Linked DNA regions of Sus scrofa. The protein of the gene in region 1 interacts with the protein of each later gene in a pairwise test. Links are inferred from orthologs where the notes say so. Each region holds a gene or a part of one and is shown in the gene's direction. Other genes may lie near its edges.

Region 1 (3,922 bases):
TGGTAGGGAAAGAAGAAAATGGAAATAGGAGCCAAAGATTCTTGAACTGCCCTCTGATCTGTGTTGGCCCAGAGAGAAGGAAGCACCCCCACCCTCCTCCCACCCACCTTAGCTGTTGGGGTCCATGCATAATCAGTGCTTTCAGTTATAAAAGAATAGTAACTGCACAGGGGTTCCCTTAATTTAAGTTATAAACGTGCTCTCTTGTCAAATCCAGTGTGCAGTGCTTTAGTGAATCTGTTTTTCTGGTGTATATTACATCTGCAACTTATAAAACATGTTTTGATGCCTAAGAGAAATCAAAGGAAAATAAGGACCCAAGAAGTATACCCCACAGGCCTGAATTACTGATCACGTGGTAAAAGCCACCCCAAGGGACATGTTCTTATCTGGTATTTGTACAATCTTAGATCGTATATTAAGTTTTTCTCCTTACTTACTCCTTAATGTTTTTAAGATGTTTTCATATCATACTAAGAATTCTTTTCTTCCTTTTTTTTTTGTTTTTGTTTTTGTTTTTGCTTTTTCTTTTTAAGGCCTCACCTGTGGCATATGGAGGTTCCCAGGCTAGGGGTCCAAGCAGAGCTGCAGCCTCCGGCCTACGCCACAGCCATAGCAATGCAGGATCCGAGCCACATCTGCGACCTACACCACAGCTCACAGCAATGCCAGATCTTTAACCCACTGAGGCCAGGGATCGAACCTGCAACCTCATGGTTCCTAGTTGGATTCGTTTCCACTGTGCCATGATGAGAACTCCTCATACTAAGAATTCTTTACTCCAGGATCACTTTGCAATCTTTTACCAAAGGAATTTTTACATTTTTTCCCCCCAAGTACACATCTTTCTTTTTAATAGCCACACCTCTGACACATGGAGGTTCCCAGGCTAAGGGTCGAAATGGAGCTGCAGCTGCCGGCCTACGCCACAGCCACAGCCCCCTGAGATCCGAGCTGCATCTGTGACCCACCCTGCAGCTTTCAGCAATGCCGGATCCTTAACCCACTAAGCAAGGCCAGGGATCAGACTCGCATCCTCATGGATACTATGTTGGGTTCTTAACCCACTGAGCCAAAATGGCAACTCCAACCAAGTATACAACTTTTTCTCCTTTCTTATTTTTTTAAATATGCCTTTCAGTAATCTCAGCACGATAAACGTGTCCAAGGATATTTTCTGCACTCAGATTGCCTTCACTGAATTTGTTTCTCTTGTCTCCTTACAAAATTCCTTTTTCTTTTTGTTGGGTAACAGAGGCTCTCCATTAACATATGCTGTTGGTCAGAAGGTGAGGGAAAGGCAGACATGACAAGTATGCTGAAATATCCAGTTGTCCACACCTTCCTTGTAGATCTAACTAGACTGTATTGGAATGCTAATCGACCATCCCGTTAGAGTATTGGGTCTTGCTGAGTTCAGCAGACACTGCCCTTTGCATTGGGAGGAGAGAGTAAGAGCAGCTGAAGGTAAAGACACTTTATAAAATAGTGACTGGTCCAAAACACTTGGACTGTTTTAATCGTCAGTCCTGGCAGAGACATTACTTTGATGCTGGGGATACTGGTTCTTTGTGCCTTCAAATGTACACACACATAATTGTTAATAAAAGTAAGTTAATAAAATATAATGGAGCTGGGGAAGGACTGAGGGAAAGAGCTGTCTCAGGGCCTTGAAAATTAAAGCTCTGTTATTTCAACAGGAAAGAAGAATAAGCTACGTGTTTACTATCTTTCATGGTTAAGAAACAGAATACTCCACAATGACCCAGAAGTCGAAAAGAAACAAGGCTGGATCACGGTTGGGGACTTGGAAGGCTGTATACATTACAAAGTTGGTAAGTCTCAAGACATGGAACTGTTCACTCAATCCAGATTATTTGGTTAAGTTTCATTTGTTTTGTTTTGTTTTTTTCTGTCAGATATTGTTGATGCATTTGTGACTGGTTTAAGGCACTCTAGAACCTTAAGTATACTTGTATTATTTCAAAAAAAGTCAGACTGATGAAGTTCAAAGAGTGCTTTCAGAATAAAGTCCTGAGCCCCAGCTTGAACTTCTTCTCAGAGACCCATTAAAATGACAGTGAAGGAATAAAAGGGCCAGAAGAGAAACCAAGCAAGAGATGTCAGCACAATTGGACAAGAGTAGTTAGCTAACTAGAAATAGACCCAGCTGACCAAGAAATGCTGAATTCTAAGTCTGCAGTGAGGAAAGTCATCAAAATCAATCCAGTCACTCAACAAAACCCAGAGAAGCTGAGGACCTGAGGCTCCCGAGGTATCAGAGGTGGAGATGGAGGGTGGGACTGAAGAAGGGAAGATAGCTGGAAAGTTGATGAACAGCAAACCCTCCAGAACTCAGGCGGCCACCTCCCCTGACTGCAACAAAAGATGAAAGGCTGGCACAGCCAGTCTGGGGGTGAGGAGTCCTGAATTATGAGGTTACACACACACACACACACACACACACACACATCCTTTCTTCCCTTGTTTAGGTCCCAAAATAGCCATACTTATACTCCCAAGCAAGAGATTGAAAGATTGTCTTTTGAGAAACTAAACAGCCAGAAAGAAAATATGTTCAGATAGTAATATTTGAAATGCCATGATAAAAGCACCTGACCACCTTAAATGGAAGCCTAGTAATCATAAGCCCACCTATATCAGACAGCAGGGAAATCTACTAATAGAAAGGAAACTTAAACAAAAAGTATGTGTTGCTGTTTTCTTGTGATTCTTTTTTCATTCTCTGAATGAAAGGATAATAAGGAGGGGAACAAAGTTTTTTAGAAAGAAACTTTAAGAGTTTAGAAATACCATTTCCTTAAAAGAAGAATAGGGGTTATTTTATTTTATTTTATTCATTTTATTTTTGTGTGTCTTTTTAAGGACGCACCCATGGCATATGGAAGTTCCCAAGCTAGGAATCAAATCAGAGCTGTAGCTGCCAGCCTACACCACAGCCACAGCAATGCCAGATCTGAGCTATGTCTGCGACCTACACCACAGCTCACAGCAACGCCAGATCCTTAACCCACCGAGCGAGGCCAGGGATCGAACCCACATTCTCATGGATACTAGTCGGATTTGTTACCACTGAGCCACAACAGGAACTCCAAGAATAGGAGTTATTTAAAAAAAAAGGGGGGGGGGGATGGAGCAGAGTTGGAGGAGGTCATTCAGAGACTAGGAAAAAATCTTGGAAATTAAAATACATTGGCAGGAATAAAAAATGAAATAGAACGGTTGGAAGATAATGATGAGAGATGTCCTAGAGAATAGAATGAAAAGAAACAGGAGAGAAAAGGTAAGAAAATAAAAGATCCAGTCCAAATGGTTCAAAATCTAAGTTATGGGAATTTTTGCAAAAAGGGAAATTAAGAAATGAGAGGGGAAGAAAGTATCAAAGAAAGAGAATTAAGAAGTTTCTACAACTAAAATCTCAAAATCTCAAATTAAAATATTCAAAGAAAATGAAAAAAGACTCACAAGAAAATAGCAACACATAGTTCAGTACCCAGGAAAGGAGAACATTCTTAAATCTTCCAAATTATAAATAAATAGATAAACAGTTTACAATTACATATGGAAGCCCCAGAATTAGGTGGCCTAGCACTCAGCAGCAACACTAGAGGATTAGAAGACAAAGGATCCTCCAGTATTCTAAAAGAAAAATTATTTTCACTCAGTGTTTTATAATCCATCTGTATTAGTCAGGGTTCTTCAGAGAAGCATAACCTCTAGGGTGTGGGTGTGGGTGTAGAGAAAGAGAAAAAAATAAATAAATAAATCCAGGCAGAGTATCATGGAGGGTTCCAGAAGAGGAACCTCCAAGGAAAAGAAAATGTTACTAAAGGATTACCTGCTGTATTTGACTGCATTAAAGGCGTTTAGAGCACTAACAAAGTTTGCATGTACTTAGAGA
Region 2 (4,357 bases), on another chromosome or scaffold:
TTCCATCCCTGGCCTTGCTCAGTGGGTTAAGGATCCAGTGTTGCCATGAACTGTGGAGTAGGTCAAAGTTTTGGCTTGGATCCTGCATTGCTATGGCTGTGGCGTAGGCCAGCAGCTACAGCTCCAATTTGTCCCCTAGCCTGGGAACCTCCATATGCCACAGGGGCATCCCTAAAAAAAAAACAAAATAAAAAATTCAAAAAAAAAAAAGAATTTTTAATAAGGTAGTAATGGTCCTTAGGCTTGGACCAGTCTTCCTAGAAGACTTTTTCCCAAGGTACAACAAAATCACTGATTCTGTTTATTTCCAGATATAGACGGTGGAGTAGTTCTATACTTTGGCAGGTTCTGTCCTTCAAAGGATGGCAGTTGAAGTCCACATTCCCTCCTCTACAAGTCAAAATCTCTGAAAACTAAAAATCGGAGTGGGGGGGATATGAAGGAGTCTCATTTTGACGTAAATTCTAATGTGAATTCAGTCTATTTAGGGTCATTAGTCACCTCAGTGGAACGTTCATATATTTTGCTTAAAGTTTGTTTATGTGCTAGACGCCAAAAGGTTCTGAAAGGGATTATGAATCTACATTAAAATGTTCCCTCACTATGCAGCCATAGGTAAGTCATTTAACCTGGCAGCCTTCATTTCCTCAACTATAAAGTAGAAATAATAACCCCAACCTCTCAAGATGGCTATGATTAATGACAGAGCATCCTAAAAGGCTCTGTGTCGGCACTTGGTGGGCACGCAATAAAAACCGACTGTGACAGTGCGGGAGTGCAGGCCGCGAGCCCATGCTTTCAGACCTGGAAATCCTGCCCCGACAGACCAGAGCTAGCTCAGTCTGGCTCACCTGGCTATGAGAACGGACCGCCCCAATGCATACGGCACCGGGCGGCCGCCGGAGCTGGCCAAGCAGCGCAGCCCAGGCCCTTCCATGCAGGAATCCGAGCTGGGGCATCGTGAGGCAGTGAGACGGCTTTCCGGGACAGGAGGCAAAGGACCTAGGAAGGAGGCAAAAAAGACCCCAGGAAGGGTACAGGGCGCGGTAGAGGTGAAGCCCAGACTCTACAGAAGAAATAAGCGCTTCTACACCATCTAAATCCCGCAAGGTGGCTTGGGTCCTTTCCGGCTCCCTCCCAGCATTTACACTTCCGGTAGGAGCCGGAAGTGATTGTTGTCCTGGGTGGTGGCTCTCTAGGCATGTGAGCCCGCGACTCGGTAGCCGGAAGTCGTCCGAGCTGAGGCTGTGGCCGCCACAGCCGATCTGGACAGCAATCAGCTCCGGCTGGCAGCCAGTATGGCAGGGCGTGAGACGCTGGAGGAACTGGTGCGACTTCAGGGAGAGCGCGTGCGGGGCCTTAAGCAGCAGAAGGCCAGCACTGAGCAGGTGCGACCCAGGCGGCAGGGGAGGGAACAAGGCAAGGCCAGGGAGGACATAGAACGTGGGTGGGCTGCACAGAGGCTGAAGATATGGAAGCAGGGACCGGACTGGTAGGGAGGAGGATGGGCTCGGTGGGGAGGTAGCTGCGATAGGACCCAAGAGAAGGAAGGATGGGCCTGGGAGACAGATCTGCCGCACTTCTCGATGAGCGAGAGATACTGAATGAATGGCGGGGAAGGGAAGGAGTGGATGTGATACAGCCCAGCGCCTGCTTTCCCTCCACAGATCGAGGAGGAGGTGGCAAAACTACTGAAACTGAAGGCACAGCTCGGCCCTGATGAAGGGAAACATAAGTTTGTGCTCAAAACTCCCAAGGTGAGTATCATATCTTTAAGGAGCCTCTGAGAGGGTGCCTGCTTCCCTGAACCGGGTCATTGAGGAGGATCTGAAATGCTGCAGAGGAAACAACAGTTACTCTGAGTGCCAGGCTGGGCTGGACTCTACCTGAGTCATTCTGGGATGGCAAAGTGATGGCAGAAACTAGGCCAGCTAAGTATTTAGGGGCGTCTACCTGCTACTGCTACTCCTTTTTGATTCAGTAAATATTTTTTGAGTGATCGCTACACAAGGTGAGTGTACCATGGTAAACAACATAGCCACCCCTCAGCTCACATTCTACTGAAGCAAACAGACCTAGGAGATATGATCCCACACATAGATATGTAACTACAACTTGGTTAAGTGATGTAAAGAAATAACAAAGTGCTCTGAGAAAAATAAGGGACAAGTGGGGAATCTGAGAAAGCCTCCCTAAAAAAGTGATAGACTAGCTGACCTAAAAGATGAGTGGGAGATAGATGAAGAGTCAGAAGAAGATAGGTCCAGATAGGGAGTGGAAATCCTTTTTTGGGGGGGGGGGGCTTGCCTGCATCAATGTGTAAGTTACCTGGCCAAGAATTGAACCCACACCACAGCAGCCACCTGGGCCACTGCAGTGACAAGCCAGATGCTTGGCCTGCTGTGCCACAGGGGACTCCAGGGAATGGAAGTCCTGAAGCGAGAATGAAACTTTGTAGTTTCCAGGAACTATAAAAAGACCTCATGGCTAGAACCAGATGGAGAAGTAGAAATGAAGATAGAGAGTGAAATAAAGTTGGAGAGTCTTAGCTCAGCATCCATGATGTCAGTTCAGATGCTACTTCTATAAGTTCTATAAACTGAACTATTTACCCTTCATCTGGGTTCCCTCGGCACTTGACAAATATACCTCCGTTACCACATTTATTGCTGCCTTTTCATTATTCACATGGTTTACTTAGCCTGAGAGGCTGAGATTGGAATTGAGTAGCTATTCAATGAAAGTGTGTGAAACTGAATTCCAAAGGAGAGGTCAGATGATCTGTCTTCCTTGTCTTGAGATGCCCCATTTTAAGATTAATTCTTTGGGCTCCTACATTCATTGAGCTCTTCCTTTCTACATATAAGTCATTTCAGAGGTTAAAGAGACAGTGTTAAAACCTCCGGGCAGTGGTCATCAATAGTTATTCAAACTATTGGGAGGAAAGATGAATGGGAATTTATGATAGATCAGGCTGGCCTCACCTAAACTCATCAGTCCATCTTAGCATCACTAAAAGTAGGACGAGATATTATTGTGGGCCTCCTGATGTAATGCAATAAGAATTGCACAGCACCACCTATGAAGTGTTCTTGCCAAGAATTATACTGAATCATTCTTCACACCTAACTACCACTTTACTGGAAATACATGAAAATGTTAAATTAAAACATTGAGTATACAGTTAACCAAAACTAGAATGGGAAAAATTCTTTAGGAAAAAATGGCTCATTTCTTCAACAAATGAAGGAATTCTTTTTTAAAAAAAAGGAAAGCAGGAGTTCCCATCGTGGCGCAGTGGTTAATGAATCTGCCTAGGAACCATGAGGTTGCAGGTTCCATCCCTGACCTTGCTCGGTGGGTTAAGGATCTGGCATTGCCGTGAGCTGTGGTGTAGGCCAGTGGAGTGGCTACAGATCCAATTAGACCCCTAGCCTGGGAACCTCCATATGCCCCGGGAGTGGCCCAAGAAAAGGCAAAAAAAAAAAAGGCAGACTGTTGCAGATTAAAAAAACATGAGATATCACCCAAATACAAGGCATGAACTTCGTTTAGACTCTGACTCAGGAGTTCCCTTATGGAGTTCCCTTGTGGCAGAGCAAGTTAAATATCTGTCATTGGTCACTGCAACAGCCTGGGCACTTCCGTGCCACAGGTTTGATCCCTGGCCAGGGAACTTCCACATGACGCAGGCGCAGCCAAAAAAAAAAAACCCCGAACAAAAACGAATCATTCAAACAAGCCAACCATAAAAAGGTATTATTGAGGCAATTTGGGGTAATTAAAAATGGTTTGGTAATTAAAAATGGTTTGGCAAGGTAAAGGGTTGCTCTTCGTTGGTTGCAAGAAAGGAGGTATTGTAGTTTTTTGTTCTGTTTGTGATGTAAGAGACTAAGACTGAAATATTTATGGATGACATTTTATGATATCTGGGATTTACCTTTTTTTTTTTCTTTTTAGGGCCGAACCTGTGGCACATGGAAATTCCCAGGATAGAGGTCGAATCAGAGCAGTAGCTGCCAGCCTATGCCATAGCCACAGCAAAGCTGGATCCAAGCCGCATCTGTGACCTACACCACAGCCTGCAGCAACACCAGATCCTTAACCCACCAAGCAAGGCCAGTAATCAAACCTGCATCCTCGGAGTTCCCACTGTGGCTCGGCAGTGATGAACTCGACTGGTATCCATGAAGATGCAGGTTTGATCCCTGACCTCGCTCAGTGGGTTAAAGGATGCAGCGTTGCCATGAGCTCTGGTGCAGGTCACAGATGTGGCTTGAATCCTGCATGGCTGTGGCTGTGGAGTAGGTCAGCAGCTGCAGCTCTAATTCAACCCCTAGCCTGGGTACTGTCATGT
Region 3 (4,526 bases), on another chromosome or scaffold:
CCTAGTCGGATTCATTTCCCCTGCGCCACGATAGGAACTCCCAGGAAGATGCTTTTTGATTAAAGTTTCATATGTGTCACATATATTTAAATTCTATAAAATGTTAAATGTTTTTAGATAATTAAGTGTTCTCAGACAATGCTTTCTAGACTGGATGGCTTGGGGTGGTAATTGTTCTAAAATTATTTAAAATGCTATAACCTACCTTTTGGTGCTCCTAATCAGGGAAACTATGGCATTTATAAAATGGCAGTTTCTTGTTCATCGTAGTAAAGACATCTGCCAAGGGCAAACTGCAGGCAGCACAGATGCTGCACCTTGGATTACCTTTGAAATGACCTTCGCACCTGCATAAGTTCTTTTAAATATGATGATAAGAAAATGAAACAAAAACCTCACAGCTCTCAATTTATTTCCCTATCCAGCTGTAATAATTTTACATTTCTTACCAGCTACTATAAACAGCAGCAAACGTGACCTATGCTCTGGAAAAAAAAAAGTAAATGTCAGTGTTTATTAAGAATACGTTATAATGTGTTCACATGCAGTCGAAACAGAAGAGAGTGAGTGTATCGGTATTTTATCTCTCTGACACATTATTTTGGCTCAGAGAAAACATTCCATCTTTGTCTTTAGTGGCTCATTCAGCATTACCATTTTTTTGTGACTATATGTACGCACGTTACAAAAAAAGCAAAAATTAAATCAGCATGAAATTTTGTTCCTTGCAGCACTAGGTATCTGATTTATTGAGGTATGACCACAAGGTAGAATTTCATTGTGTTCTGGGAGCCTGGCTGTGAGAGCTGATAGTCTTCACCCTATTAAGGACTCTCCCTGAGGTCAGTAAAAGGCTCTGTTCTACTGCGGTCCCCAAGGTCCAATGCCACCCCGGTACCACGTGCGTCGGAGAGTTAACAGCCACTGGTGTGGTGCTGCCAAAAGCCTCATAAGACTGTCGGGGTGGCTCCAGCTTAGTTCTAGGAAAAGGCGGAGGCTCTAATTGAGAGAGCAGAGCAAGGTGACTTACAGGACGCGGGCAGCCGCCGGGAGACCCATTTGGTCGGGTAGGGCGGCAGCTGCAGTGGACGACAGCCAGCGCCGCGAACAGCCGGGCTCCAGGATCCCGACCGCGTTTTCCCGGCTTCCAAACAACCGCGTTCGCCCCGCCCTCTCCTTTGCGCGCGCTCCCAGCTTCCCCACGCGCGCTCCCCGGGCCCCCGCCGCTTCTGCCCGCGCGTGACCCGCCCTCCCCGCCGGCGCGCGCCCATCTTGCACGCGCGCCCCGCGCTCCCTCCTGCCCGGCGCGCGCGAGCCGGCTGGCCTAGCAGTGCGGTGGGCGGGGCGCCGCGCTGACGTTGCCCGGGATGCGGGCAGGTTCCGCCGCCGCCGCCGCCGCCGCCGCCGCCACTGCTGCAGCCGCCTCCTCCTCGCCTGCCACCGGGGTTTGTATGAAAACACCCGGCGGCGGGCGGCGAGGAATCCGTCGTGAGCCGGGAGAGCAGCCGCAAGTGCTGCTGACGCCGAACTGGGTGCTGCGGCTCTGCCTGGTCCCTGCCAGCGCCCCATCCTGAGCCGGTGAGCGCCGCTCCGCTGTCCGCGCGTCCGGGCCAGCAGCCCCTCGCCCGCGACTTGCCCGGCTGCCCGCCACCCCTCTGCTCTCTCCGGCCGCGGCATCCTGGGGGCGGGAGAAGCCAGGGAGGAGCGGCCCTGAGCCCGCCGTGGTCTGTGCCCTGCCACCCCTCCGCCCCTTACCTGACAGGTTGTGTAACCCGTGTCTTTCGGGGGTGGACCCGGTCTTGAAGGGAAACGCCTGATGGATGGGGGCTTTGGCCGGTGTCTGGAAAACGTCCCACCCCGCCCCCACCCACGGACACTGGGAAGCCCCCGCCCCGGTCGCCCCCTTCCCGGTCGCCGCGGAGGATTCCTGGCGCGGTCTCCGAGCACAGGCGGCCACCCGTCCTGCCACCCCTTTCTCTCGGGCCCCAAGCGCCGGTGGCCTCGGTACAGCGCGGAGCAGAGCGGAGGGGCGGCGGGCCGGGGCCGGGCGCGCGCCCAGCCTCCCCACCCACCCCAGCACCCACCCTAGCTCTCACCCTCTAGGTGCGCTAGGCTTTCAGGTGGGATGTGGCGTTGGCGAGGCTTACTTCCTCTCAATGGGTGGCTTGACCTGAAGTGTCTTCTCTGCTTACAACTTGTCGCCTTGTGGGTTTGATTTGAACCTGAATCATCGCCCTAGATGACAGTGCAGTGTTTCCCTCCAGCCTTCCTTCCTGAGTTGCGGGTTCTTTATTGCAAGTATTCAGGGCCTCTTGCAACCCAGCGCAAAGGCTTGCGGAGCCCTATGGTGTGGTTTCCCTCCTGTACCTTTAAGTTTCTTAAAGTGCCAGTACGGTTTTGAATCGGTTAGTTTCCTTTCCTGGGCATTTTACTCATTATAGAATGGAGTTATAAAACATTGATGCAGAATGGCTTTTATACTTAAAGCCCATTTCTCGTTTTAAGATAGAGTCCTCAAGAGCCTGCAGGTGCACTGTTGATGACCTAATATGTTGTAAGATCCGGTAGAAATTTTCTTTGGCGGTATTACTTCTTTGTGGGTGTTTTTTTTTTTTTCCCCCCAGGTATTCACAATTATGGCAGAGTTTATGATGCACGACAGTTTATAGTTAGCAAGGACTTTAGCAGTCTTCTGGATCACTTATTTTCCTTTACCATTTATGTCCTCATTGGAATCTTTATATAAATGGAGTTATGTCTTTCTTTGTTAACCTCTGAATTCGTCTTATAAGTTGTCTTTTTTTCTTAATTCCCTGAGAAAGTCAGAAAGTTATTTTTGTAATGTATTGTGGAATGTTTTCAGTTCAGTAGGCCAAAAAAGTAGTAGTTTATTTAAGGCACCTTAAATGGTACATATTTTAAAACATGTGCCAAGTGTTCATCGAAACCAAGCAGAACCCTGAAAGCTCTATCAGCATTTTCTTGTGTAGTTACTGTGAGATAGTCAGCAGTGCCTTATCCACTTTTTCTCATTCTTAAGGCGGAGTTGTAACACGACTTGTTTTTTTTTTTTTTTTTTTTTTTTTTTTTTTTTTTTATATTAAATTTTATTTTATTTTCCCACTGTACAGCAAGGGGGTCAGGTTATCCTTACATGTATACATTACAATTACAGTTTTTCCCCCCACCATTTCTTCTGTTGCAACATGAGTATCTAGACATAGTTCTCAATGCTATTCAGCGGGATCTCCTTGTAAATCTATTCTACGTTGTGACTGATAAGCCCAAGCTCCCGATCCCTCCCACTCCCTCCCCCTCCCATCAGGCAACCACAAGTCTCTTCTCCAAGTCCATGATTGATTTTCTTTTCTGAGGAGATGTTCATTTGTGCTGGATATTAGATTCCAGTTATAAGTGATGTCATATGGTATTTGTCTTTGTCTTTCTGGCTCATTTCACTCAGTATGAGATTCTCTAGTTCCATCCATGTTGCTGCAAATGGCATGATGTCATCCTTTTTAATGGCTGAGTAGTATTCCATCGTGTATATATACCACATCTTCCGAATCCAATCCTCTGTCGATGGACATTTGGATTGTTTCCATGTCCTGGCTATTGTGAATAGTGCTGCAATGAACATGCGGGTGCATGTGTCTCTTTTAAGTAGAGCTTTGTCCGGATAGATGCCCAAGAGTGGGATTGCAGGGTCATATGGAAGTTCTATGTATAGATTTCTAAGGTATCTCCAAACTGTTCTCCATAGTGGCTGTACCAGTTGACATTCCCACCAACAGTGCAGGAGGGTTCCCTTTTCTCCACAGCCCCTCCAGCACTTGTTATTTGTGGATTTATTAATGATGGCCATTCTGACTGGTGTGAGGTGGTATCTCATGGTAGTTTTGATTTGCATTTCTCTTATAATCAGCGATGTTGAGCATTTTTTCATGTGTTTGTTGGCCATCTGTATATCTTCTTTGGAGAAATGTCTATTCAGGTCTTTTGCCCATTTTTCCATTGATTGATTGGTTTTTTGCTGTTGAGTTGTATAAGTTGCTTGTATATTCTAGAGATTAAGCCCTTGTCAGTTGCATCATTTGAAACTATTTTCTCCCATTCTGTAAGTTGTCTTTTGTTTTCTTTTGGGTTTCCTTTGCTGTGCAAAAGCTTTTCAGTTTGATGAGGTCCCATGGGTTTATTTTTGCTCTAGTTTCTATTGCTTTGGGAGACTGACCTGAGAAAATATTCATGATGTTGATGTCAGAGAGTGTTTTGCCTATGTTTTCTTCTAGGAGTTTGATGGTGTCCTGTCGTATATTTAAGTCTTTCAGCCATTTGGAGTTTATTTTTGTGCATGGTGTGAGGGTGTGTTCTAGTTTCATTGCTTTGCATACAGCTGTCCAGGTTTCCCAGCAATGCTTGCTGAATAGACTTTCCTTTTCCCATTTTATGTTCTTGCCTCCCTTGTCAAAGATTAATTGACCATAGGTGTCAGGGTTAATTTCCAGATTCTCTATTCTGTTCCATTG
Region 4 (3,922 bases), on another chromosome or scaffold:
TCTACATGAGTATATAGTCATGGTTTTCCCACCAGTGTTTACTGGGTCCGTTTCTGGGCAACTACATTCATTCGTTTTTGAGGAGAGACTTAATGTGCTTCTCCTTAGTATGTGACCCAGTATGAAAACCAGATATCAGATTTAAGTTAACTAGTCTTTGTTTATCTTTTGCTCAGAATAATTAAGGTAGGAATAGAATTTTGAGGCCTTGTATTTTGAGACCTGAATATAATAATCTCCATTGCTCAAGAATTTCTTTTCTTTTTTTTTTTTTTTTTTTTTGTCTTTTTGTCTTTTTGTTGTTGTTGTTGCTATTTCTTGGGCCGCTCCCGCGGCATATGGAGGTTCCCAGGCTAGGGGTCGAATCAGAGCTGTGGCCACCGGCCTACGCCAGAGCCACAGCAACGCGGGATCCGAGCCGCGTCTGCAACCTACACCACAGCTCACGGCAACGCCGGATCGTTAACCCACTGAGCAAGGGCAGGGACCGAACCCGCCACCTCATGGTTCCTAGTCGGATTCGTTAACCACTGCGCCACGACGGGAACTCCCATTGCTCAAGAATTTCCTTGCACAATAGCCAGGGTTATGGAGCAGCAGGAGGAGGGGGCTGGAAGGATCGAGAGTATATGTCATGTGAAATTCTCCCACCAAGTCATACAAAAGAGACCCAGTGGTTTAGAGCAAGGCAGTTTCTTAGTTCAATTCCCAGTTCTGTTATTTTCTGTTTATATAGTAAGTGCTCAATACATGTTAGCCATACTTATTAATCAGCACTACAAGCCCCCCCCCTCTATATATATATGTAAAACAATGTGGGAAATCCTGGGTGGAGAAGGGTACCTGTAAAAATATGTGCCGTGACTTTTTACCTAAATCTGGATATTAGTTAAGCCTTCTGCTGTTTCTTTTGTGATTTAGATTTTCCTAAGAATAAGGAACCTTTTGCTTTAATGCCTTTTCTCTTATCATCTGAAATTCACACGCGTAATACTTACAGGTTTTTTCCTTGTAAATCACATAAAGAATTAACCCAGCAGTTGCAGGGCGGTTAGGATATGGTAGAATATCTTATTCTGATTATTGGCCTTTGTGCTATATTTTTCTTACTCAATGAATGTATCTCTCAGAGTTTTTCCCCTTCCCTCTTGCCTCAGGTCTGCCAAGTCACTTTGTCTAGCGGCTTACATTTTCTACCCTTTCAAGTAGTTCTAGAAGTTTGGAACTTACAACCCACATCAGCAGATTTGCCCTTTTGTGTTTGGCAAGAATCAGAGTTTGCCATGTGTTTCCAAGTAGAGGTGGGAGTATGGTGTTATAGAGACTCATGTCAGCATGACTGGAAACAGCGATTGTTAGGTAACCAGTGAACTGAAGCCAGAGAAGAGAACTGAGAACATTATTTTTGAGCTGTTTATGTCTGTAGAGATCTTCTTTGAGTGTTCATCTTTAATATAAAATGATACACCTTTAAGAGGCATCATGTGACATTCATTAATTGAGCTTCAAGTGATTTATTTCGTCTAGAATGTAAAATACCCTAAACTTGGATTTCCCGCTGTGGTGCAGTGGGTTAAGGACTCAGCATAGGTCGCAGCTCTGGGGCTCAGATTCAATCCCTGGCCCAGGAATTTCCCTGTGCCCTGGGTGTGGCGGAAACCTAAGATACCCTAAACCCGATTTGTCTTATGCGGTGCCTTTTCTTAACTCCTTAAAATTGTGGCTCTGTGAAAATGCTTGCTTCAGAAGGAGATTGGGATCAGGTGATCGTACTCTTCCTTCCACCTCAAAACCCAGCGAAAATAAAGGTTGGTGAGCCTAGAGTAGGGAGTGCTGGGGAGCAGGGTGTAGGAATGGGATTGAAACTTCCTTTTGTTAGCTGGTGGTGTATGTTCCTGAAAATATGGCTAGAAACTTTTAATAGAATGTTGATGTGTCCATGTGTGTGAATTTGCAGATTATTGGAGTGAGAGTGACAAGGAAGAAGCAGATACTCCATCAACACCCAAACAGGACAGCCCTCCACCCCCCTACGATACATACCCACGGCCTCCCTCCGTAAGTTGCCAATAGGAGTGTATTCAATATTGCATCAGATTCTTTGACCTGAAATATCGATTTGTATGTTTAAAAAAATTATGTAGTGAAGTACATGTCAGACCTTGGGTTTTTTAGGAGGAAGCTGTCTAAAAGTAATAAGGGAAAAAATTTTAAGTATACAAAGAATGTTTAATCAAGAGGAACAGTCATCACAGATTCCATGCCTAATAAATATCAGTTTTAAGAAAAAATGCCATTTGTGTCAGAGCTGCCTTCATAGAAATATCAACAACTAAAAAGTTTTCTTAGCTTGAGATGTCTAAATTGACCTTATCTGTTGTAGACTAACAAAGTTCATTCCTATGTTTTTTATTTTATTTTTTTTTTAATTACTCAAATGAATTTATTGGATTGTTATGATCATTATACAACTACAGATGTGATAAATTCATTCCTATGTCTTTTAGAAGCAACTCATAAAAACTAATACTATATCTGTATTGAACATGTTTTGGCATGTAGCTTTTCAGACAGCCATGGAGCCCGGTTTAATGTATGTGTTTATATGGTGCTCTTCTTCTTAAGGCTTCTTAAACCTGTGTAAATCATTCTGTATATAGAGTGTACCTCGATCCTTTCATAGAGTAAACAACTGTCCTGATTTGCTTGGGCCTATCCCAGTTTATGCCCATTTCCCATCAGAATTACCAAATGTGTCTCAATACTGTCCCAGTTTAGGCAACACATTGTTTGGTCAATTCTGCCTGTCTTGGGACTGAGTCTTCCACATAGGAAATGGAAGCTGGATTTAGGTGACAGTAGCAGCCAACCTAATTCCACCTCCCTTTTACTCCAGGGGATTTTTAACAAGAAGAATGCTCTGCAAGACTTTGATAAAATTCTAGGCCACTTCTTAACCTTGGCTGTGCATAAGAATCACCCTTGGAATGTTTTAGAACAGCAGATACTCAGGCCTAATCAAGACATATAAAATCAGAATATTTGGGACTGCAAACAGCTCACTGGACTGGACTGTGAACTTTTTATTTTTTTGAGAACAGAGACCCTGTTCTATTCATCTACACATCCCCTTGTCCTAGCCCACTACTGGCACTTATTTATTAAGTGCTCAGTAAATATTTTTGAAATAAATAAATGAAATGAAAGAATGAATACTTTGGGTTAATGACTAAAAGGAAAGTCACATTTTTTTTGTTGTTGTTGTCTTTTGAGGGCCACACCTGAGGCATATAGAGATTCGCAGGCTAGGGGTCCAGTCAGAGCTGTAGCCCACCAGCCTATACCACAGCCACGCATGGCAACGCTAGATCTGAGCCACGTCTGTGACCTATACCACAGCTCACGGCAACCCTTTGTATCCTCAACCCACTGAACAAGGCCAGGGATCAAACCTGCATCCTCATGGATGCTAGTCGGGTTCACTAACCACTGAGCCACGAACTTCCAAAGTCACATTTTTAATTGAAATGTTTGATGACAGTATCTCTTACCTAAGGGAAACAGGACAGAAGGAAAAAAAATGCAGAATTGTTCCCATCCATATGCACATATTCTTAATAAATGCTGCAGTGTACCAAGGTCAACAGAATGCAAGGATGAACTGTGTAACTGAAATAACTAGGTCAGTAACAATATATAGTTTCTATCATATTTTACCTCTTTCCCTAAAACATCAGGGTCTGAATAATTCCCTTAAAATTTTTGTAAAAGTGGGGAGCTCCCCATTGTGGTTCAGCGTTAACAAGCCCAACTAGTATCCACGAGCACGCGGGTTCAATCTCTGGCCTCGCTCAGTGGGTTAAGGAACCAGCATATCCATGAGTGGTGGTGTGGGTCGCAGACGTGGCTCGGATCCCCCACT
Region 5 (3,922 bases), on another chromosome or scaffold:
AGTCTCCGCGAGGAAGGGGCTCTGGGACGTGCCTCTGTCTCCAGGGCCTCTGGGAGGCGCTGCGGCCGCCCGCCCTGCCCAGCGCGCTCGGAGCAGCCCAGTCCCTGGCCGGGGCACCTGGCAGTCGGGCTGCTCCTGCCTTTTTCCCCTGAAGGGCAGTGCTCACCAGGCCCGTCTTCCCGGCACAGGATGGACGACTCCTACTGCCTGTCGGCCCTGCGGTCCCCCTTCTACCCCATCCCTGCCCCCGGCTCCCTGCCCCCGCTGCACCCGTCAGCTGTGCACCTCCACCTCTCCGGGGTCCGCTACCCGCCTGAGCTCCCGCACTCGTCCCTGGCCGCGCTGCACTCGGAGCGGATGTCCAGCCTCAGCGCCGAGAGGTAAGCCCCATCCGGGGACAGGTGCCTTCGGCTCCTTGGGCGTGGCCGGCGGGCTCCTCGGCACCTGCTGCCCTCACTTCGAGGGCAGAGGGCGGGTGCTCCGAGGTCCTGGCTGGTGCCCGGCGAGGCTGCGTCCTGAGTCACCAGCCCAGGCTGTGAGCTTCCCGGGGGCCTTAAGGGAGTTTGTACACAGCTTTTGATCTAAGGGCCTTCGAGTTCGTAGGCGTGTTAGCAGAACCAGAACCTGGCTCGTCTCCCGGCACTGTTTCCAGGGGAACGCTGGGGTCTCCCGCCAAAACCTTGGGCTCAGGTGTCGGTGTCTGGCCCCGGGGGCTTCTCCCTGATGGACGGTCCCGGCCCCCGCACCCTCCGCGGTGGAGGTCACCGGCTCCCTGTGCCCCGCAGGCTGCAGATGGACGAGGAGCTGAGGCGGGAGAGGGAGCGCGAGCGAGAGCGGGAAGCCGACCGCGAGCGGGAGAAGGAGCGCGAACGGGAGCGGGAGAAGGAGCGCGAGCGCGAGAAGGAGCTGGAGCGCGAGCGCGAGAAGGAGCGGGAGCTGGAGCGCCAGCGGGAGCAGCAGCGCGCCCGCGAGAAGGAGCTGCTGGCCGCCAAGGCGCTGGAGCCGGCCTTCCTGCCGGTGGCCGAGCTGCACGGGCTGCGGAGCCACGCCACCGAGGATCGCGGCAAGCCCTCCGAGCAGCTGACCCCGACCCGAGCAGGTACCCAAGGCGGGGGGACTGTGCCCGGGGCGCTGCCCCCGGCCAGAGCCCGGCTGACCTTGTCAGTGTCCGGCTGTGAATGAGCCTGAGGTCCCTGCACCGGGAGCCGGCAGGAGTGACATTCCCAGGTTAGGGAGCTGAGAAGAGAGACTGTGATACAGATGCCATGGACGTAGATAACTGCCACGATGTGTGCCACAGAAACATGCAGCCACAACCTTAGGAAGTGATAGTTTGGAGGTTTTGGGTTTTGGCTTTTTTTTTTTTTTTTTTTTTTTTTGCATTTTAGGGCTGCACCCATGGCATATGGCAGTTCCCAGGCTGGGGGTCCAGTCAGAGCTCCAGCCGACACCACAGCCACAGCAACGCAGGATCTGAACCGCGTGTGAGACCTACGCCACAGCTCTCGGCAGCGCCAGATCCTTGACCCAGTGAGCGAGGCCAGGGATTGAACCTGCGTCCTCATGGTTCCTAGTCGGATTCCTGTCGACTACGCCACGATGGGAACTCCTTGAGTGTTTTTTTAACCTTAGTTTTTAGGCATATTTTGTTTCATTGTGAGTATACATAATCTCACTTTTAATAATAGCGAGTTTAACTGCTGGTGTGCGTGGCTCCCCCAAATTTGAGTCTGCTCTGCCAAGGGGGTATGAGCCTGCTCCGCACCCCTTGCCAGGAATGTCTCGGGACAAGGCGAGCCCCCAGGAGGCTCAGCTGACCACCCCAAGGCCTGCCGCTGTCCCTGGCAGCCAGGCCTGCATGCAGGAGCATCTGTGGGCAGCTTTCGTGTCTGAGCCGTGGCTGCAGGGCAGCGCCCTTCCCAGAGCCCAGGCAGGGCGGAGGGCTGAGACCCGCTGTGATGGCCTTTCTCCCCTACAGAGAAGCTGAAGGATGCGGGCCTGCAGGCGCCCAAGGCCGTGCAGCACCCCCTGCACCCGGCGCCCACTCCCCACCACCCGGTGCCCAGCCTCCTCTCCAACCATGGCCTCTTCTCGCTCCCGGGCAGCAGCGCCGCCACGGCCCTGCTCATCCAGCGCACCAACGAGGAGGAGAAGTGGCTGGCGCGGCAGCGGCGGCTGCGGCAGGAGAAGGAGGACCGGCAGTCGCAGGTGTCCGAGTTCCGGCAGCAGGTGCTGGAGCAGCACCTGGACATGGGCCGGCCCCCGGCGCCTGCAGAGACGGAGCACAGGCCTGAGAGCGCCAGGTGGGGCCGGGCACCGCCGCTGAGGTTTCATTTCGCCGCCCCTGCCCCTGCCACCCCCGCCAGTCTCGCCCAGGAGGGAGCAGAGGGAGCGGGGAGAGCAGCTGCTCGCGGGCGCCTGGGTCCGGAGCCCGGGCCCCTCCCACGCAGGACCCTGGGGCCCTGCAGAGGCCGAGGGACTTTTCAGTTAATAATCACATCTCTCCCACTCCCTCTGCCCAAATTTTTCTAAATGAGATGGCAACTGCCTTTAATTTTTAAACAAAAAAATTCATTGTATTGCTTTAGTAATTTAAAAAAAAAAAAAAAACACACCTAGTCCCCAGCCCCATTAGAAAGATTTTCCCAGAGGCCTTTGTGCCCACCTCTGGGACCCCTGGCAGGACCCCTAGTGTAGACACCTTGTGAGTTGGGCCTCTGTCCACCCTGGGGATTCGCTGCTGCCGCCTGTTGACCTGATTGTCACCTTGCGTCCCCTACCCCACCCTCCGTCCTTGCAGGGCTCTATCAGAAGAGCTGGGCTGAGACCCTCAGCCAGGGCGGTGGAGAGAGCCGGGCCTGGGGGGCCCTGGTTTCGGGGCCCCTTCCTCACTTGTGCATGGAGGAGGTTGAGCGGGAGGGCTTCCGAGCGCCTCTGCAGCGCGGCGTCCGTGGCGCTGTCTGGGTCCAGCTGTGGGCTGACCTGTGGGTTTTCTGGCTGTCACGGGTGCAGCTGGCCCATCCAGCAGCCCTGCCTCTGCATCCGCTGAGTAGGGTGCTGAGGGCATTTGCTTGGCTCGTTGGGTGTAACCGGGAGTAAACCATGGCCGGGCCCCTGGCTGGGTGTCCCACAGCCTCTGGCCTGCTCTGCTTGGTGTGGCCGCAGTGAGGTCCCCTCTGTAGACTGTCCCTTCGCTTCTCTGGGCCCACTTGAGGCCACACAAGGACTGGCTCATCTGCCTGTGAGCTGCCCTCTCTGCTCACCCCCCGGGGCTGGGGGAGCAGCCAGCACTCGCCCAGCCCTCCTGGTAAATTCAGGGCGCTCTGACCACTCCTGAGGATGTCTTCCTTTGCTTGGGGGCCCCGGGACCCCAGAACAGCTGTCAGGGCCTGTGCGCTGCTGTCCCCAGCAGGGGTGGCCTCTGCCGTAGAACCTGCTACAGGCCTGGGGGCAAATAGCGCCCCTGCCTGGACGGCCCCCTTGGCAGTGTGAACCGATGGTCCCAGGGCCTTGTGCCCCGAGCTGGACACAGCCAAGCTGTGCTTGACGCCAGTGCGTGAAATAGTTACCGCGCTCGCGGGTGTTACTCCTTTGCTGTTACTTAAGGACACGGAACGTCTCGACGCGGTTCCCTTCTGGGTCTGCCCAGCGGAGGTGCCGCAGCCTGGGCGGCTGTGGTTAGACGTCGCCCCCAGCCAGGCAGGGGGAGCCCTGAGAGCCTGGTCATGTGCTCCGTGGCCTCTGTCCCTTCCCCTTCTGGCCGGTCACCTTGGCAGCACGGAGCTTTCCCTAAGGAAGTAGGTCAACTTGGGGAAGACAGCACCCAACTGGGAATTTGGAAGCCGAATTTTGTTTTAAATGCACCAAGCAAAGAGTCCCTTAGTTCAGCTTGAGGCAAAGGTGCTTGTCTGATGGGAAGTCT
Region 6 (4,617 bases), on another chromosome or scaffold:
GAGGTGCCAGTAAGGGGGGACTTTTCTGGAGGCCCAGCCCCCGGTTCTCCCAAGAGTGGCACACGCACACACCAGGCCTTGCCCTGTGCCTTTGGAAAGTCTGGGAAGTCGGGTACCCAGCTAGGCCTGGTGGCACAGGTGGCCGTAGGCATGGATTGCGTTTGGGTGACAGAGGTTCCCCCCCAGGTGAGCTGGGCAGCGGCTTTACCTGTCTAGCCCAACGCAGATGTGAACACCAGCTGAAGGGCTCTTGGGGCACCTGGTCCCGCCCCCCCATCGGCAGACACCTGCCCAGGTCCAGCCAAGCATACTGGGACCCTGACAAGGCCCCAGACTCGGTCTGCCCGGCACCACTGCCACCCCTCTTGGCCAGTGCTCTCTCTTCCCTGTGGCTCTTTTGATGTTTAATTCCGTGCTGAGCAATCCCGAAAGCTTCCAAAGTACCTGGTTCCCTCTGGGCATAACCAAAGCACTGGTGGCAGCAGGTGTGACCAAGACCCTGCCAGCAGTGACAGGACTTCAAGACCAGCCTCCTGGGGAAAAGGGCGCGCCCTGGAGCCGACTGGACCCACAGCCCCAGAGTTACTGAGGCCTAGGAAACCCACTCCAGGCGTGGCCGTTTCCTAGTATCATAAACAGAGAAGAGGGTGCCCCGCTCAAGTCTAGGGGGAAGGTGATGATTCAGGTAGCCCCTGCCTCAGTTTCCATACAACACTCAAAAGTAATTAAAATGGAGCAAAACTCCACCACCTCCCCCGCGGACGAGGAGGGGGTGGCCCCAAACGCAGAGAGGAGCCGCCGCCTGGGGACAATCGGGTCTGCGGTTTGAGGCGCAGGATGCGTTGGTTGGGTGTGGTAGGACGGGGCCTGTCTCTGCACAATCAGGGACCCCCGGCGCCCCGACACCGGCGGAGGGGCCTTGGCGGTGGTGGCTGCGCTAGGAAACGGGCGGCTCCTTCTCGTCGTGAGAAGGGCGAGGTCACGGCTCCCCGGGACTCCCCCGGACCGCCGGGCCCACAGTGCCGCCACGGCGACCGGCGGCGACCACCGCCCTCTCCCCTCCCCCACGCCCCCAGCTCAGCACCGAGAAGCCGCCTCGCGGCCCGAGCTCCCTGCAGAGCCTCGGGGAGGAAACTCGCAGGGGGCGCGCGGGGAGCGAAGCCCCCCTGCGGGGGCGGGGCGCGGGAACACACCCTGCTCCCGGTGCCGCCCAGCCCCGGGCCAGGCAGTTTCGGGGTGCAGCCGGGCCCTCCCCCAGGGTGCGCGACAGTCCCGGGGCGGAGCCGGCGGGTCAGCTCTGCGGCCCACCCTGCGACCCCGGGGGCGGTGGGGGGGGGAATCGCCAGCCCGGCCCGCTAGCCTGCCCCGCGCGGGGTCTCGCGCGCGGGGTCGCGGGCGCGCGGGGGCGGCGCGGGCGGGGCGGTTGGGGGCGGTGCGGGAGGGGGCGGGACCGGGCGCGGGGCCCCACGTGCCCCGGCCGGCCGGGCCAATGGGCGCCCGGCGTTCGGAAAGATCGCCATATATGGACATGTTCTGGGGCCGCGCGCGCCGCCGGGCCGCGCGCGCCCCCCGCTCCGCTTAAATAGGGGCGGGGGAGGCCGCGGTCGGTCTCGCTCGCCGCAGCCGGCCCGCGCTCCGTGTCTTCTCGCCGCTCCTCCGCTCGCTCCTCCGCGCCCCGCGGCCGCCGTCTCCGCCGGTAGGTGACCAGGCCTGCGCAGCTCCGGCCCGGTGTCCGGCTCTCGCGCTCCTCCGCAGGCCCGGCCCCGGCCCCAGAGGCCCGGCTTCACCGCCGCTGGCAACAAAAGGGGCGGCCGGGCGGGCCCCCGGGGTCCGCAGTGGGGGCGCCCTCGGGGGCGGGAGCTGGGTGGGGTCCGGCCGCACTGCCGAGCGCTCTGGGCCGCGCCGCCGCGGAACGGCGGCGGGCGGGGGGGTTACATAAAAGGCGGCCCCGGTTCCGGGCGGTTTCTCCGCTGCCGGGCCGGGGGGAGGCGGAGCGTCTCGCGGGCAGGGCCTTTGCAGGGGCCGTCCCGGCGCCGCTGGGCGCGCCTGAGCCGCTCGTGCCTTTGAGCAGATCGCCATGGAAGAAGAGATCGCCGCGCTGGTCATCGACAATGGCTCCGGCATGTGCAAAGCTGGCTTTGCTGGGGATGACGCCCCCCGGGCCGTGTTCCCGTCCATCGTCGGGCGTCCCCGACACCAGGGTGTCATGGTGGGCATGGGCCAGAAGGACAGCTACGTGGGCGACGAGGCTCAGAGCAAGCGGGGCATCCTGACCCTCAAGTACCCCATCGAACACGGCATCGTCACCAACTGGGACGACATGGAGAAGATCTGGCATCACACCTTCTACAACGAGCTGCGCGTGGCCCCCGAGGAGCACCCCGTGCTGCTCACGGAGGCCCCCCTGAACCCCAAGGCCAACCGTGAGAAGATGACTCAGGTAGGCGCTGCCGGGTGCAGTGGGCCGTTTCCATCCGTTTCATGAGTCGTTTAGTGCTGAGCTTTTGGGTTTTTTTTCCTGAAATTCAAGTGTTTCTTTCGATATTTTCAGGGTTCTGTTCTTCTCCTGGCATTTCCTTCCTGAAGTCTCAAGGTTTCTCGTTTGTGTTTCTGCCTGCTTCCTTTTCTTTTCTCCACACATCACATCACGTTTGTGGCATGTCGGCATGGTGTGTAGCATGGGGTGGCCCGGGGTCCCTTCTCTGACTAAGGAGCCGTTGCCTTTCCCAGATCATGTTCGAGACCTTCAACACGCCGGCCATGTACGTGGCCATCCAGGCCGTGCTGTCCCTGTACGCCTCTGGCCGCACCACTGGCATTGTCATGGACTCTGGGGATGGGGTCACCCACACGGTGCCCATCTACGAGGGGTACGCCCTGCCCCACGCCATCCTGCGTCTGGACCTGGCTGGCCGGGACCTGACCGACTACCTCATGAAGATCCTCACGGAGCGGGGCTACAGCTTCACCACCACGGCCGAGCGGGAGATCGTGCGGGACATCAAGGAGAAGCTCTGCTACGTCGCCCTGGACTTCGAGCAGGAGATGGCCACCGCCGCGTCCTCCTCCTCCCTGGAGAAGAGCTACGAGCTGCCCGACGGCCAGGTCATCACCATCGGCAACGAGCGCTTCCGGTGTCCAGAGGCGCTCTTCCAGCCCTCCTTCTTGGGTAGGTGTCGGGCAGCGCGGCCTGCCTGGGGGGGGCCCGGGGGCTCATCCCCTTGCACGGGGGACCGCTAAGGGGGCGCTCTGTCGGCCTCTCAGGCATGGAGTCCTGCGGCATCCACGAGACCACCTTCAACTCGATCATGAAGTGCGACGTGGACATCAGGAAGGACCTCTACGCCAACACGGTGCTGTCTGGCGGGACCACCATGTACCCCGGCATCGCCGACAGGATGCAGAAGGAGATCACGGCCCTGGCGCCCAGCACCATGAAGATCAAGGTGAGTCGGGTGGCCGTGGGGTCGGCAGGCGGCCTTGCTGGGACCCAGGGCTTGGCTGCCGGAGACTGAAGTCCCGCCCTTGTCTCCCCAGATCATCGCGCCTCCCGAGCGCAAGTACTCGGTGTGGATCGGGGGCTCCATCCTGGCCTCGCTGTCCACCTTCCAGCAGATGTGGATCAGCAAGCAGGAGTACGACGAGTCGGGCCCGTCCATCGTCCACCGCAAATGCTTCTAGACGGACTGCGAGCAGATGCGTAGCATTTGCTGCATGAGCTAATCCAGAAATAAAGTTTGCCCTGGCAAATGTACACACCTCATGCCAGCCTCCTGAAACTGGAATAAGCCTTTGAAAAGAAATTTGTCCTTGAAGCTTGTATCTGGTATCAGCACTGGATTGTAGACCTTGTTGCTGATTTTGACCTTGTACTCGAGTTAACTCTTCCCTTGGTCTCTGTTTAATACCCTGTGCATATCTTTGATTTAAACCCCTAGTTACACACACGCGGCTCTGTCACCTCGTGGCTGAGGTGAGAACCTGTTTATCGTGGAAGAGAAATCCGTTGGCTGGTTGAGAATCTGAGACGGAGTCTCTCCGATCTGTGCAGGGTATTCATGTGTCCGAGCTCCTATTCCAGGATTTCTCTCGAGGCTGGCAAGAGTCCTGAACCAGTTGTCATTTCTGTCTTGCCGGTCTGACGGGGTTGGGAAGGTCCGAGCCTTAGGACCCACTGTCCTTTCTTCCCCGATGTTTGCCCGCCAGAAAACCGTGGGTTGTTAACTTGCCTTGAGTTGGAAGCGTTTGCATTCACACCTGTAAATTTATTCATCCTTTTAATTTATGTAAGGTTTTTGTACGCAATTCTCAATTCCTTAAGAGATGACAACAGATTTTGGTTTTCTACTGTCACGTGAGAACGTTAGGCCCCAGCAACGCGTCATTGTGAGGAAATAAAGTGCTGCAGTAAACCCTTCGCCGGCTCCTGCTTGGGCGCGGGGCGGCTTCCCCACCAATGGGGGGCCCGCGGTCTGACTTGGGAAAACCAGAGGTGGGCTGGGTGTGTTGAGAACCAGTGGTCCCTGAACATGTGTGCAGCGCGCCTCTGCCCCCCGGGGGTGGGCTGCTGGGGAAGGGAGCCGAGCCCCCAAGCTGCTTGTGGGGGGCGGTCTACAG
Region 7 (4,667 bases), on another chromosome or scaffold:
AGAGTTAAATGACTTGGTGTTAAGGAAAGGACACTGGCCTGGGGATTGGGAGAGCTGGGTCCTCATCCTGGGGCTGCCACATACTTGCTGCAGGCTTTGGGAAGCCCCATCCTGTCTGTGGGTTTGGCTTCCCCTCCAAGGGGGAGGGATTGGACAGGAGACTGGTTTCTTTCCCAGCTCGGAGCTCTATGGCTCCCGTGGTCCCAGTCCTGGTAGGAGATCCTACACTGACCACTGCTTTCCAGACTCCTCATGAAGGGCTCTTGCCTTTGGCTGCCCTGCCTCCCTTCCTCTCAGGACCCAATGCCCTGTCTTCTGGTATCAGAGGCTTATGTATGGATTTCTCAGAAATCATTGCCATCAGGGGCCTCCACACAACATCAGGGGTGTTTCTTGCTGGCTTTCTCTCTCTGGTGTGACAAAGGCTCTGTCCCTGCTCCAGGCGTTTCAGGCCTCAGTGAGCAGCTGGGGCAGAGCCGAGACACCTGAATTAGCGCCTGGCTCCACCACCCACTCACCATCTCTGGGGAAGGTGGTGACCCCGCCCTCTTCTCCCACGCTGCTTGAGAACCACAGCTCGGCTGCTTTGCTAATGATGTCTCAGGAGAGGTTTGCTTTATGAATATGCTCCCGAGGGTCCAGGGGGGCCTGCCAAGCTGAGAGCAGCTTCTGGATGTGCACCATCTCAGGAAGGAGAGACCCCCTTCCCGTTCTGTTCAGGGAAGTGGGCGAGTTCAGATTAGCGGTTCTGGGGAGGAGGTGCAGGGCACGGGGGTTCTGTTTTGCAACAGCTTCAGCTTCTGGGAAAGGGTCCATTGTGTAAGACCAGCTGGTCCAGAGCTCAGGGCAGCTGGCCGAGTGGTGGTGGGAGGACCTTGGCAGACACCCTGCTGTGGGCTTAGAATGTGCTAACCCAGAGGTCTGAGGTCCTCACTGCCTCAGACCCTGAAAAAGCAGTTTCAGGAGGTGTTGAGGCTTAGAGGCGGGCAGGGGGTAGGGGGGAGGAACTGCTGTGATTGATTGGTGATGTCTGCTGGGGCAGGATGGGTGATGCACACAGCAGCGGCCTGGACTGTCTGCACTCTGGACTGCAGTCCCCACTTTGGCAGGGGGAGGACGGGAGAGGCCAGATGAGTGACCCAAGAGAGGTGTTTTCAGAGTTTGTTTGATGTGAGCAGGTATCAGCAGATAGATGCCCTGCCTGGATGCAGACAGTATTGTGCCTTGCTCAGGCTTAGTCAGCTATTAAGGGTAAAGGGAGGAGAACGAGGAAAAGGGGGAGAAGGAGGAGGGGGACAGGGGGAGGGCAGCTTGGACCTGAGCCTGGTGGCTGTGACTCTGGAGTTCTTATATTAGGCTGCTGTCCTGTGGTTCCTGCCTCTATCTACTCCTTCCACTTGTCCGTGGCAAGTCTGAGCCTTTCTTGTCACTTCCCCAGATAAAGGGCAGTGGTGCCAGCTGAGGGGGTAGCCGAGGGCAAGGCCTCTGCTGGGCGCCTGGGAAGCCGAAGCCTCTGCAGGCAGCAGGCTAGAGCGGAAACCCCCCAGGCTGCCTGGCTGTTACCATGACAGTCCCTTGTTCTCTACAAACAGAGGCGTGCTAGAATTCCAGAACTGGAGAAGCAGGCGAGATGAAGACTCTGCTGCTCTTGGTGGGGCTGCTGCTGACCTGGGAGAATGGCCCCTGGGTGCTGGGGGACAAGGCCATCTCGGACAAAGAGCTCCAGGGTAAGTGAGCCTGTGCGCCTCCTCACATGCTCCCTCCCCGTCCTGGGTCCCAGGGTTAGAGAGCACCTTTCTCCCTCCTGTGCATCCCGTCGCACCTGCTCTGCCCCAGCCTTGCTGAGGCCTCCCTCGCCAGCCTGGGCTTTGCTGTCAGCTTGATTTCAAGGCAGTTTCAGGTTGTTCTCAAGCCCTTTCTGGCTGCTGCACCTCACTGGTCTGTTTCCCTCCGAGCCTGGCACCCACACCTCCTCCATGAAACCCCATGAAGCCTGGACCCTTGGCGCCTCTGTGGCCTGCCGTTTCTGAGTTGCCGGGGCACTTGTTCCCTGTATCCATCCCTTTCCACCTAGGAAACCAGTGCCCTGGATTCAGGAGAGGGGAACTCTCATTCCCTAAGAGGCTTGACATCCTTCAGAGCCCCGCTGGTGGTCCCCTCTTCTGCCAGACCTTTCCTGAAACCTAAATTCCCTCCTCCCCACTCTGTCCTAGCAGCTGACCACTGCAGGGCAGTAGTTAAAAACCCTGAGATCAGTTCTGGGTGGGTGTCTGGCTCCACCCTCCCCAGCTGTCTGATCTTGGGTGAGTGTCTTGATCTCTTTATCCTCATTGGTGCTGTGGGGTGAGGACAGATGGGCATGTTAAATAAAATGCATAAGAAGTGTTCAGCTTTGGAGTTCCTGTCATGGCTCAGTGGTAACGAATCCGACCAGTATGCATGAAGACGAGGGTTTGATCCCTGGCTTTGCTGTGTGTTAAGGATCTGGCATTGCCATGAGATGTGGTGTAAGCCACAGACACAGCTCAGATCTGGCATTGCTGTGGCTGTGGCATAGGCCGGCAGCTACAGCTCCAATTTGCCCCCTAGCCTGGGAACTTTCATATGCTGTGGGTGTGGCGCAAAAAAAAAAAAAAGAGAGAGAGAGAGAGAAGCGTTCAGCTCAGCTCCTGGCTCAAGATCAGAAACGTATTGGCTGTTATTTTCGGAAGTTCATTGACACTGTCTCATTGCATTTGTCACCCTGCTGTGTCTGATCACAGTCCCCTCGAGGAATGGTGTTGTTAATCCACAGTGCTTCCTGTCCCCGTCTCCTGACACCATGCATTGGAACAAAGAAGAACACATGCGTGCTTAAACTCAAGTCCAGAAAGACTTGTATCCAAAGTAATAATATTTACATTTTCATGCTTAAGCAGTTACCCTTGAAAATTTTCTTCGGCAGCCAATTAGGCTGCTTCTCCAGAGCCCTGGAGGTGGCCTGGGTTGTCTCTCCTCTGGGGTGTGTCTCTCTGATGGTTGGTGTTTCTGAGCAGGGTGGGGTGTAATGGATGCTCCTCGGTCCTGGGTCTGCAGTGAGCCCTGTGATGGAACTTGGGTTGGCAGAGGCTGGGCCCGAAGGCTGCCTGTCAGGGGCTCCTAGGCTTGGCAGCCCCTAGACCCACTGGCCTTTCCGACCCTTCCAGCTGGTTCCAGGCTTATATCCCCAGCACCATTCCTTCCTCTCGCCCCATCTACCTCCCTTGCGCTTTTCTTGCAGAAATGTCCACCGAGGGGAGTAAGTACGTTAATAAAGAAATTAAAAATGCCCTCAAGGAGGTGAAACAGATAAAGACCCTAATAGAACAATCAAATGAAGAGCGCAAATCACTGCTCAGCTCCCTGGAGGAAGCCAAGAAGAAGAAAGAGGTGAGGAAGAGCCAGGTGCCCCCCCCCCCCCCCCCGCCCTGACCCTCTGTGCAGGGGGGAGGGACTGGCTGTCGCTCCTCTGGATGGCCTGCCAGGTTGTCAGCCAGGTTGCCATGGCAACCCACAGTCCTTCCAGGCGGTGTCAGCTGATCCTGGGGCTGTGGTTAACAAACAGGGAAGGTTTATTTGCTTTTGAAAGCTTCAAGGGGTGAGATCTTGGATCTGGTTTTGTTACCAGCCTGGCCCAGGGCCTGCTGCCAAGATTCACTTCAGTAGATTTTGCTAGACCTTGATTATGACCAAACTCCAAGGCAGGCTTTGGGTAGGGTCTGTCACGGACATGGGTTAGGAGGGGGATGGCACCCCACCTTCAGGAAGCTTGTCTTGGAGGGGTACAGGGTATCTTTGGGGGTACAGTGGGCACACACTGCCCATGTCTTTCTAGAGTTCTGGACTACTTCATAAAGAGACACCCAGGTCCCTGGTGAACATACAAAACTAAAATTCTGCAATTCAATAAACAGCTTATTTTTTTAAAAAATCAATAGTCTCCTTAAGGGTATCCTCAAAGCCTACTCCCGTAGTCATACCTTCCCCCATGACAAAGAAGCTGTGATGGGGCCACCTGTCACCGTTGTGATCCCCAACACATAGAGTAAAAGCATTGTAAAGACTTGGAGAGGTTCTTCAGTAAAGAAACACATGGAACTTCATTTAACCCAAGTGTTTTTTTCCCAATCGAAGTGACCCAGGAATCCATTATTTTCCTCCCCAACTGTTTGTAGCAGAGCTCTCACTTTCTTTGAAGCTTAAGGCCCTTTCTTGGCATCAGTCTTCGTTCTCACGATACGCTAAGAATCCTTTTAGAGCCCATGTAGAAGCAGCCAGTCTTGCTCTTGAATTTTTACAGTTCTCCTTGAGGTTCAATGTTTGACCATCCATGTTCCATGACAAAGCACATCAAATTTGAAAAAAGACCCTATGACTTCTTAGTGGAAGAGCATGTGAACTGGAAAGAAAGTAAGAGGGCAGAATAGTTGCTGCCTGTGAATCAGCCCAGTAGGAGGTGTGTGCAGAGCTGAGGGCCGGGGACAAGGGACATGGGGCAGGGAACGATCTCACATACCCCAAAATCCTCCTGGTCAGATAGTCATAGTGTAGCTTTGCTTTGGCTGTGGATGGTCTACTTAATTCTTTGAAAACTAAGCTACTCATGTATCAAGATTTTCACCTAGAAAAGCAGGAGTAGAGCTCCTATT

Evidence for each region.
Region 2: the proteins of TNIK (region 1) and HARS interact in a two-hybrid assay, tested with the Homo sapiens proteins (2 studies listed by BioGRID and IntAct). The link is inferred for Sus scrofa from reciprocal best matches to the Homo sapiens genes TNIK and HARS1.
Region 3: the proteins of TNIK (region 1) and AGTPBP1 interact in a two-hybrid assay, tested with the Homo sapiens proteins (2 studies listed by BioGRID and IntAct). The link is inferred for Sus scrofa from reciprocal best matches to the Homo sapiens genes TNIK and AGTPBP1.
Region 4: the proteins of TNIK (region 1) and CNKSR2 interact in a two-hybrid assay, tested with the Homo sapiens proteins (2 studies listed by BioGRID and IntAct). The link is inferred for Sus scrofa from reciprocal best matches to the Homo sapiens genes TNIK and CNKSR2.
Region 5: the proteins of TNIK (region 1) and GSE1 interact in a two-hybrid assay, tested with the Homo sapiens proteins (2 studies listed by BioGRID and IntAct). The link is inferred for Sus scrofa from reciprocal best matches to the Homo sapiens genes TNIK and GSE1.
Region 6: the proteins of TNIK (region 1) and ACTG1 interact in a two-hybrid assay, tested with the Homo sapiens proteins (2 studies listed by BioGRID and IntAct). The link is inferred for Sus scrofa from reciprocal best matches to the Homo sapiens genes TNIK and ACTG1.
Region 7: the proteins of TNIK (region 1) and CLU interact in a two-hybrid assay, tested with the Homo sapiens proteins (2 studies listed by BioGRID and IntAct). The link is inferred for Sus scrofa from reciprocal best matches to the Homo sapiens genes TNIK and CLU.

What each region holds. Positions count from the first base shown.
Region 1 is NC_010455.5:109,657,174-109,661,095, reverse strand, and holds part of TNIK (TRAF2 and NCK-interacting protein kinase), read left to right. Parts: intron 1-1,700; coding exon 1,701-1,835; intron 1,836-3,922. UniProt on the Homo sapiens protein: Serine/threonine kinase that acts as an essential activator of the Wnt signaling pathway. Recruited to promoters of Wnt target genes and required to activate their expression. May act by phosphorylating TCF4/TCF7L2.
Region 2 is NC_010444.4:142,398,078-142,402,434, reverse strand, and holds the start of HARS (histidine--tRNA ligase, cytoplasmic), read left to right. Parts: upstream 1-1,202; 5' UTR 1,203-1,298; coding exon 1,299-1,388; intron 1,389-1,667; coding exon 1,668-1,757; intron 1,758-4,357. Other genes in the region: probable histidine--tRNA ligase, mitochondrial, read right to left, coding at 852-959. UniProt on the Homo sapiens protein: Catalyzes the ATP-dependent ligation of histidine to the 3'-end of its cognate tRNA, via the formation of an aminoacyl-adenylate intermediate (His-AMP). Plays a role in axon guidance.
Region 3 is NC_010452.4:29,438,773-29,443,298, forward strand, and holds the start of AGTPBP1 (cytosolic carboxypeptidase 1), read left to right. Parts: upstream 1-1,569; 5' UTR 1,570-1,578; intron 1,579-4,526. Other genes in the region: serine/arginine repetitive matrix protein 3-like, read right to left, coding at 1,031-1,569. UniProt on the Homo sapiens protein: Metallocarboxypeptidase that mediates protein deglutamylation of tubulin and non-tubulin target proteins.
Region 4 is NC_010461.5:17,787,891-17,791,812, forward strand, and holds part of CNKSR2 (connector enhancer of kinase suppressor of ras 2), read left to right. Parts: intron 1-1,957; coding exon 1,958-2,058; intron 2,059-3,922.
Region 5 is NC_010448.4:3,258,975-3,262,896, reverse strand, and holds part of GSE1 (genetic suppressor element 1), read left to right. Parts: intron 1-188; coding exon 189-380; intron 381-785; coding exon 786-1,099; intron 1,100-1,978; coding exon 1,979-2,303; intron 2,304-3,922.
Region 6 is NC_010454.4:1,318,803-1,323,419, forward strand, and holds ACTG1 (actin, cytoplasmic 2), read left to right. Parts: upstream 1-1,552; 5' UTR 1,553-1,696; intron 1,697-2,071; 5' UTR 2,072-2,077; coding exon 2,078-2,440; intron 2,441-2,730; coding exon 2,731-3,169; intron 3,170-3,264; coding exon 3,265-3,446; intron 3,447-3,537; coding exon 3,538-3,681; 3' UTR 3,682-4,417; downstream 4,418-4,617. UniProt on the Homo sapiens protein: Actins are highly conserved proteins that are involved in various types of cell motility and are ubiquitously expressed in all eukaryotic cells.
Region 7 is NC_010456.5:11,345,941-11,350,607, reverse strand, and holds the start of CLU (clusterin precursor), read left to right. Parts: upstream 1-1,615; 5' UTR 1,616-1,630; coding exon 1,631-1,727; intron 1,728-2,762; coding exon of another isoform or gene 2,763-2,886; intron 2,887-3,259; coding exon 3,260-3,408; intron 3,409-4,667.